Nothobranchius furzeri: one gene and its partner. Each later gene encodes a partner of the first gene's protein in a complex. Links are inferred from orthologs where the notes say so. Each region holds a gene or a part of one and is shown on either strand. Other genes may lie near its edges.

The links. Proteins that work in one complex are often made in the same cells at the same time.
Region 2: mybbp1a (region 1) and dek share a complex: the UniProt entries of both Homo sapiens proteins name them as parts of the B-WICH complex. The link is inferred for Nothobranchius furzeri from reciprocal best matches to the Homo sapiens genes MYBBP1A and DEK.

Annotation. Positions count from the first base shown.
Region 1 is NC_091750.1:52,603,297-52,607,603, forward strand, and holds the start of mybbp1a (myb-binding protein 1A-like protein), read right to left. Parts: upstream 2,837-4,307; 5' UTR 2,761-2,836; coding exon 2,584-2,760; intron 1,995-2,583; coding exon 1,899-1,994; intron 1,787-1,898; coding exon 1,703-1,786; intron 1,618-1,702; coding exon 1,543-1,617; intron 1,456-1,542; coding exon 1,348-1,455; intron 1,262-1,347; coding exon 1,071-1,261; intron 989-1,070; coding exon 821-988; intron 660-820; coding exon 542-659; intron 443-541; coding exon 153-442; intron 87-152; coding exon 1-86. Other genes in the region: tbl2 (transducin beta-like protein 2), read right to left, coding at 3,627-4,086. UniProt on the Homo sapiens protein: May activate or repress transcription via interactions with sequence specific DNA-binding proteins. Repression may be mediated at least in part by histone deacetylase activity (HDAC activity).
Region 2 is NC_091745.1:58,973,596-58,977,824, forward strand, and holds the start of dek (protein DEK), read right to left. Parts: upstream 2,825-4,229; 5' UTR 2,713-2,824; intron 2,571-2,712; exon of another isoform or gene 2,457-2,570; intron 2,402-2,456; exon of another isoform or gene 2,280-2,401; intron 1,551-2,279; 5' UTR 1,514-1,550; coding exon 1,390-1,513; intron 1,273-1,389; coding exon 1,174-1,272; intron 1,104-1,173; coding exon 994-1,103; intron 701-993; coding exon 606-700; intron 139-605; coding exon 9-138; intron 1-8. UniProt on the Homo sapiens protein: Involved in chromatin organization.

The DNA of each region.
Region 1 (4,307 bases):
CCTGCTTCTTCACCTGACTGTTGTCGATGATGGAGGCAAGTCGAGAAACAATCCACCTCCTCAGGTGGAAAACGGCGCTGTCCTTCCTGAAGGAGCATTAGAGTTAAAAGGTGTTTTTTCAGTCAGCTAAAGAAGCGGGCGTATAAACTCACTGCTCTCCACCCTCCTGCTTGCCCTTCTGCTTGCGGGTGCTGAAGTCCAGCAGCTCTTCCATCCGAGGCTGAAGAAACATTCCTTTAAGCCACTCCACGTAGCTCTGCAAGGCTGCAGGCTGAAGATGCTGCACCACCTTCCACACTGGCAACACCACAGGCAAACCCAAGTGGGTCAGCGAGGAGAAGCCCACCATGACCGCCAGCTGCTTGTCTGAGTCCTGACAGGCCTGCAGGAAGTCCAACACGTAGGTGTCCATCTCCGGGGCCAGCTTGAAGCGGCCCGGTTTCTGGAAAAGAAAAACAGCCATCCAGATCTACAGCTCACCAAGACCTCACTTGTTATTCCTCTGATTCGAGTGAAATCTAAAATTCACCCTGGAACTAACCTGAGATGCAAGAACGTGTTCTCCGTAGTGCATCATCACTTCTCCAGATAAGACCGTCTTCAGCTGGGACAACGACAGCAGAGGGAGGGCGCTTCCCAGCAGGCGGAAGCTCAGATAACTGAACAGAATCAACAATGGGAAGGCTGGATGTTAGAATAAAAATTCACTTGCAGGGAAGAACAAAGTCATACAAGAAAATAAAAACTACACTTTTCACATTTTAGAGCTTTGTTTCCACGTTTTGGGTCCGATTCATTCACATCCTCGTAATAAACTCACTGAGTCACTCCGAACGGCTCCCTGAACATTCCCTCTGTGATGGCTTTGTTCCAGAAGAGCTGGAAGCTGTCCTCCTTCAGAGAGAGCTTCAGGAGGTCCAGAGCAACGGCTGGTAGAGTTAACTCCTTCTTCACAGAGTGAGCTGCCATCTTTAACACCTCTATCAATCTGACAGATAAGGTTTTTAATGATAATAAGCAGGAGGAGACGGTTGAATGCGTATTTTGAGACCTGATTCCCGAATTCTCACTTTGGAATGTTGTCAGCGTTAATGATGGTGGAGGAGCCCAGCAGCTTCTTGAGTTTCTTCGGCTTGAGAGTTTGAGGGAAGCGCTGCAGCGCCACCAACAGCAGCTGCAGCTGCTCGGGAGTGTTGAAGGCTGACGCCAGGTCAGTCTGCAGGGCGCCCAGCAGGACCTCCTCGAACACCTCCTCTGGGATCTGAAGGCCAAGAGGGCAGCATGTGAGTGCGTTTTGAGGTTAAACTGATACAAAGTGGAAAGCTGCAACCAGGACGCAGCGGTCACCTCAGTGAGGATGTCCACCATGGTTTTACTGGGCAGGTCCTTCAGGTGCTGCTTGTGCTGAGTCAGACTCTGGAGGAGCGTCACACATCCCAACACCACCTGTGGCTCCTGCAGAGATCAGAGCTGCTATAAGTGTTTTTGACTCTTTAGAATGTTAACCTTAAAAAACAAAAAAAAAAAAAACTCCCAACTCACTTCAGCGAGACGTCCAGACTGATGAAGAGCGAGGACGCCAAACAAGTTTCCGAACATCGCATTTCTGGCAAGTTTCTATGAAACAACGTGATTTTGGTGAGTGGAAACGCCCGTTAGTGAAGTTCCTGATGCCAAAGGAGTCCTGAGCATCTAAACTCACCTTCTTCACAGCCTGTATGTTGTGTTTCTCTTTGATTCTGTTCAGTATACTCTGCAGGGAGACGTCCTTAAAGGCACTCAAGACCTGAAAGAGGAAACTTATCGCTTAATTTGAAACATTGAAGTTTTTTGATTTCTACAAACTGGTGAACTTTAAAGTTGAATCGACCAATCAAGCGGGCTGGCGGTGCCCTCACCTGTCCCAGAGCCAGGCTGAACCCAGGCCTGGCTGTCTCCCGGGTGTGGGACAGTCCGTCCACCAGACGTTTAAACGTGTAATCCAGTTCATCGGCCTGCAGGACAGAAACAACATCCGTAAAACTTTCTACACACCACTGAGACTGGGAACATTTAGACATCACTACTCTCAGAAGAGCCCCAGGCCAGCTGTGGCTACATGGTAGCTCATCCCTACCAGTGTGTAAATGTGTGATTGTGCTGTGAAGCGTCTTGGGGGCGCTATACAAATACAGGCCATTTAAAACTCATGTCTTTATCTTTGAGTATAAATGACTTGATGAACATTTTATTTTTGTTTTGATATACCGGTATTAAACTTGCACTTTGCTTTATACTTTATTTTTATATTTAATTAACGCCTTCTACTTTGTTGTGAACTTTTAGCTGATTGTTAAACACTAGTGAAATTGTTTTTAACAGAAACTAATTTAGTCCGTTAAAACTTGATTTTCTTTGAGTTATTGTCCAATTATGAAGAAAAAGTTTTTTAAACCAAAACGTAGGCGATTTTATTAAGAAATTGACAATTTAGTCAGTGATATAATCATTTGAATCTAAAAACTTTTATTCTGATTTACTAAAACTTTAACTTCAGAGGACATAATGCATCTGAGTCTGGATCGTGTCCAGGCAGTTTCTCACCTTGTTTTCTGTTTTCAGGTACTGGATCAGGTTCTCCACGGCCTTCAGTCGGACCTCCTGATCCGGTTTAGCTAAATCCCAGAAGAAGTCGAGGAAGACCCGGTTCTGCTGTAAAACCCCGGCCGGTCGCAGCGGCTCCGCTGCCTTCACCAACAGTTCCACCATCTCTACAGACATCTGCTCTCAGAACCACCTCTGATCAACATGCTGCTACGGGAGGAAAACGTGTTTCCACAGACACAAACCACTTCCGGGTCAATTCAGATGAGGGTTGCTCTTTAGCGATAGGCCGGCGCAAGACTCGGATTTCATCGTTAAAGAATGCTGCCCAGTAGTTGCACCTCCACGTGCGCCGGTGACAACATGATGTAAACCCCCATTTTTTTGTTCTTTCAATAAACTTTGTTTTGATCATCAGCGTTTTTTGTGGGAAGGTGGAACAGTCTAAACCAGGGCCAGATCCATATCCATGGAAACTTCTTGATGTTGAGGGTTTTTCTGACTGTATCTTTTTTTTTCAGTTAAAATCTAAGTGAAAGCTACTGAAGCTTATTTAGGAAAGAGCATTCTCAGGGTTTAATCTTGTTTTTCTAACAAAGACCTCAATAAGCGCCTCCTGAATTTTATCTTGAGAGGTACTATAACTAATGTTTCTTATTCAATTGGCAAAAACTAAATCCAGACTTTAATATGAATTTAGTGACAATTAACCCATGCTACTTTTAAATCACTTTTTATTTAATTATTCAGTAAGTAAATTCTTTCTCTTTAAGCATTTACTCGTTTTGTGATATGATGCTGTGACAAGAGCGTTCACTTTGGTATTGTAGACCATCTTCATTACCGTGTTTTTGGTTTCCTAACTTTAAATCAAACCACACACATCCACAACACATTTCATCTTTGCATAAAAATGTATTCTTTATTAAAACTGCATGCATAACCCGTTGCTTCCTGCACAAATTAATGAGCAGAAAAGGGAAACTGGATGTTGACAAAAACATGACACATCACAATCACATGGTGGCTCTTTGTGCATTCTTTCACTCGATCCGAGCAGTGAGCACAGTGTCCAGAGCGCTCTGAGCATCTTTTATCTGCTGCTGCAGTCTCTGCTTCATAGCCTCGTTCTGGGCTTTTTTCAGCATGTCCTGCATGTCTTTGATAGCAGCCTGGTAGCCTGGCGCATTATGAAACACTCTGATAGCCTTGTCGCCGCTGCACACCAAGAAGCGGCTGTTAATGTCAAACCTGAGGTCGGAGATGTTTTCACTGTGGACACCGTGCAGTTCCTTCTCCAGATTCCCAGTGGCAGCATCGTACATCGCTATGTTACAACCATTGCTGATGGCCACAACACGGCCATCAGGGGACAAAGCCACTCTGCTGCCTTCGGAGGAGGAGCAAGGGACCGTCTTCAGGAGGTAAGGATCCTGCTGCTTTTTGTACTCTACATCTGTGTTCCACAGCTTCCACGTTCCATCTTTAGAGACGGTGACCATCCTGATCGATAAAAGAAAGAAAAACAAATCAGTTATATTAAAGTGTCGTAGATAATCTGTGTGTTTTTTCCATTTAGCAGAGTGATTGCTTCAGATATCAAACATAGGAACTGGATCTCACTGATGAATTTCAAGCTTCATTGTGCAAACAGAACTAACGATTTAACACCCACTGTGTCCTCATCAGATGACACCCTTGGTGTTGAATCATTAGTTCTGTTT
Region 2 (4,229 bases), on another chromosome or scaffold:
TGACTCACCTTCCCGCTGTTCTTTGGGGAAATGAGGAAGGTCAGAATCCGGTCAATCAGATCAGAGTGGGTTCCTTTCTTTTCCAGATCCAGAACAGTGCAGACAACCTTCAGCTTGGTGTTGGTGAAGCTGGAGTTTCTGAAACGATACGCGGGATGTTTATGGAAGGATCTTGACTGAACCCTCAAACACAAACCATAAATTATATCTGCACATCTGGGAGCTAGGGACGAGTCCTGTGTCCAGGCCTGTGCTGATGTGTGGTGGTGTCTAAAGCCTCGCAGGCCAGGCCATGGTCCCAACCCAGGACCCGCATCATCGGTCTGAGCGAGACTGAATGTAAAAAGAGCAGCAAAGTGCTGCTTATTCCGTGTGTGTGTGTGTGTGTGTGTGTGCCAGACTGCTTGCTCTTTTTTTATAATTAAAACTCCAAACAAACATCTGGCTTTACAAACATTCATGTATCTGCTCAGCTTCACACCAAACACACGCGTGATCTCCAGCCTCTTTCTGGACCACTGGGATGGAAGCTTCATGCAGCTTCACCTGGCCATCACCAGTAGGTCCTATCCTTCAGTCGGGTCAGGCAGCTAACAGGAACTTACTTGAGAAGCTTTTCTCGTTTCTTGTTGTATTGCTCGCTGTCGACGTCAAAAGGGAAGCCGTTGAACAGCCGCAGGTTCTTCTTGAGTGTGGCCATCTGAGAGACAAAAAGCAGTTTCACGTTTGACTCTGGGGTGTTTCTATGAAGAACTCAAGACTGAAGCTGGTGCTTTTCCCCTTTGTTACTTCACATATTTTTCTGTGGGATTACTGAACATGAACACATGAATAACTCCCACCTGCAGCTGACACCTGCCTGTAAATAACTACTGAAAAGTGGTCATTGGGTACTTGATCAATCAGAATGGGGACTTTTCTGGTTGGAGATGAACAGGTGATTTTGGAGCTGTGCTCAGGTCAGTTTTCTGGGTTCGGTTCAGCTGTTTGTACCTTTCCCGGTCTGTCAAACAGGAGCATGTGCAGCTGTTTCAGATCCACCAGCTTCATCCTGGTGATCTGATGATTGGTTCGAGGGATGTCTCCTAGTTTATCTCCACTGCCTGCAAACACCAGATGTTAACCAGCTGTTGGTTTGTATTCATACACATCTAAACCTCTTTTGTTGCACACCATCTCCGATCTTCAACTTCTCTTTGGTTTTTGGCGCCTGGAGATCCAGTCTCTCCACAGTCTTCTTCACTCGCTTCCCTTCGATGATTTCACCCACAGCTGTAACGGAAAGAACATGTCAGCATGCTGAAGCTGTTCCAGACAAATAAACCTTTACAGAACCCAGAAAGGAACAACCCAACACGAGTGACAGTGCAATCAGACAACTCTCCTCACCAGACTTCTTGGAGCTATTTTTGTTTGGACTCGTCTCATCCTCCAGCACTGTCTCCTGCTGATCCTCAACGTCCTCCTCAGATCCCACGGAGCTGTCCATCGCTTCCTCCGCCGCGTCGCTCATGTCTGCACAGCTGCTTTGAGTCCCCGTTTAATTGATCCTGAAAGAACACACCAGGTTTATGATGCTATGCTTACAGCTAACTAAATAAGAGCAAAGCTCAGCTTTCAACTGCTCCTCCACTTGCAGAGTTACTCTGACACACCTGTCGCATCCACAGGTCTGTTCCACAAAGCTGAGTTAAAAGTCTAAGAAACCCTGGTTTTAGTAAAGGTCTGAGCCCAAATACGTCACCACATAAACTAAACCTGCCCGCCCCACTAAGAAAAGACAACATGAAAAGCTTCTCCTGTTCTTTAGACCACATGCAGTCAGACCTTTACTTCACTAGCAGACTGAAGTCAAACTTTTGTGGTGTGTAGTTCATGTGTTTTACATGTATTTGTTTAATTTAGTTTTATTGGTCTTTGTGTGGTTTTGTGGTGTACATCGCTGTGGTCAGCTCTCACGCTGTTTATTGTGCTTTTATAAATAAATTTGGTATGGTAATTGGTTTAATTCAGTAAAGGTTTCAGCTCATGTTGCCCAGGAGCATGAATTTGATTACAAACAGTCATGAAGACATGATCCGGTCTGTGGATCCAGAGTGAGTGTTCTGTCCGGTAGCTCCGGTGCCGAAGTGTGTTCAAGCTTCTGATAAGTCACTAGTCTGATAACGGATCACAGTTAACCAATGGATCACCAAAACCACGCTTTGTATTCTAAAAACAAGAAGGACGGATGGAGTCCGGTGCCTCTTATACACACGCGCGCGCACACACACACTTACTTAACCTCATGAGTTGATGTTGATATTAGCGGAAACGGTAACATGCAGCTGACTACTTTAATCTTTTTTATTTATTTCATGTGCACGCGGACAAGCGCGCGGAAACTATAGCTTTCAAACAACTTAGCCGATTAGTTAGCCGCGCCGAAAAACTGACCAATAAACTCAAAATACTACCTCACTTCCGCGTCAAGGCTGCGCCAATTGGTTAGTTAGCGGAAGTCATTCAGTCAAGCCATCGGTTTACCGGGCAATGTAAACGTTAAGTTTAAGCAGCGGAAAATATGCGCGGGGTTAGCCGCTGCAGCTAACACCACAGCTAGCTCCGACAAGATTCAACAGACCAAACAGCGACACGATGAGGCACAGCAAGTTCCGCTTTCATGCCCCCAAGCAAGCCGTCTACGGCGGGAAGAAAACGCAATAACTTTACCTGTTCCCGAAGAACCGAGCAAACAGAACCGCAACCCGCCTGTCACTCATGAGAGCGATATGCTATGTGGGCTGGGACTACAACGGCGCCCACGGTGCTGATTGGATGAGTGCTGCAGACGTCACGTTGTTGTCTCACTACCGGCCCCTACCGTTACTGGAATCGCTTTATGCTAAAACCAAGCCCCCACAATGGAGCTCTTTGTTTTTTTTTTTTTAACAAGTTTTATTTAACCAATGAAGCTTACAGGCTTACATAAGAATCAATATTTACAGATGAATTCTGAGCATGACAAAAAAAAGCAGGTGTACAAACAGAAACAATAATATTAACCTAGCTCAATATCAACCTGCAGAAGTCATAACCAAATAAATATATACATATATTACATCAAACAACATTATTAGGGGTAAAGGAAACATTCACCAAATTGTTATAGAGCCAAATGGCTTTCTTGGAACTACATAATTTAAGAGAATCCATGAAGGATGCAAGTTCTTTCAAAAAAACAATAAAGATCGGTTTGATATTGCCAAATTTACATTTGTGTATAAAGAATTTGGCGAAAATAATCAAATTATTGACAGTGAATTGCTGCATTTTATTTTCCAAACTAATAACATACTTGATGTCAGAAAAAGATAAGGAGCCGTCGTCGTCTTCCTCCGCTTATCCGGGTCCGGGTCGCGGGGGCAGCATCCCAATTAGGGAGCTCCAGGCCGTCCTCTCCCCGGCCTTGTCCACCAGCTCCTCCGGCAGGACCCCAAGGCGTTCCCGGACCAGATTGGAGATGTAACCTCTCCAACGTGTCCTGGGTCGACCCGGGGGCCTTCTGCCGGCAGGACATGCCCGAAACACCTCCCCGGGGAGGCGTCCAGGAGGCATCCTGACCAGATGCCCAAACCACCTCAACTGGCTCCTTTCGATCCGGAGGAGCAGCGGTTCTACTCCGAGTCCCTCCCGAATGTCCGAGCTCCTCACCCTATCTCTAAGGCTGAGCCCGGCCACCCTACGGAGGAAACTCATTTCGGCCGCTTGTATCCGCGATCTCGTTCTTTCGGTCATTACCCAAAGCTCATGACCATAGGTGAGGATTGGGACGTAGATCGACCGGTAAATCGAGAGCCTGGCTTTCTGGCTCAGCTCCCTCTTCCCCACGACAGATCGGCTCAGCGTCCGCATCACTGCAGATGCCGAACCAATCCGCCTGTCGAAGATAAGGAGCGTATAATGAAATTATTATGCGTTAACCACGAGTGAAAACTATCCCAGAAAATTTTGGTAAAGATGCATGTGAAAAATAAATGTATCTCAGTTTCTATATTAGAAGTGCAAAAGGCACAATCGTTCTCTCCAATATTAAATTTAGACAGCAAGAAATCTTTGCAAGGATAAATACTGTTTATAGTTTTAAAATAAACTTCCTTGGCATTAGGAGGGATTGGGAATTTGAGATAGTTGCATCTAATGTTTTTAACATCAGAATTACTAAATTGACGTACTAATTACCGTCTTCT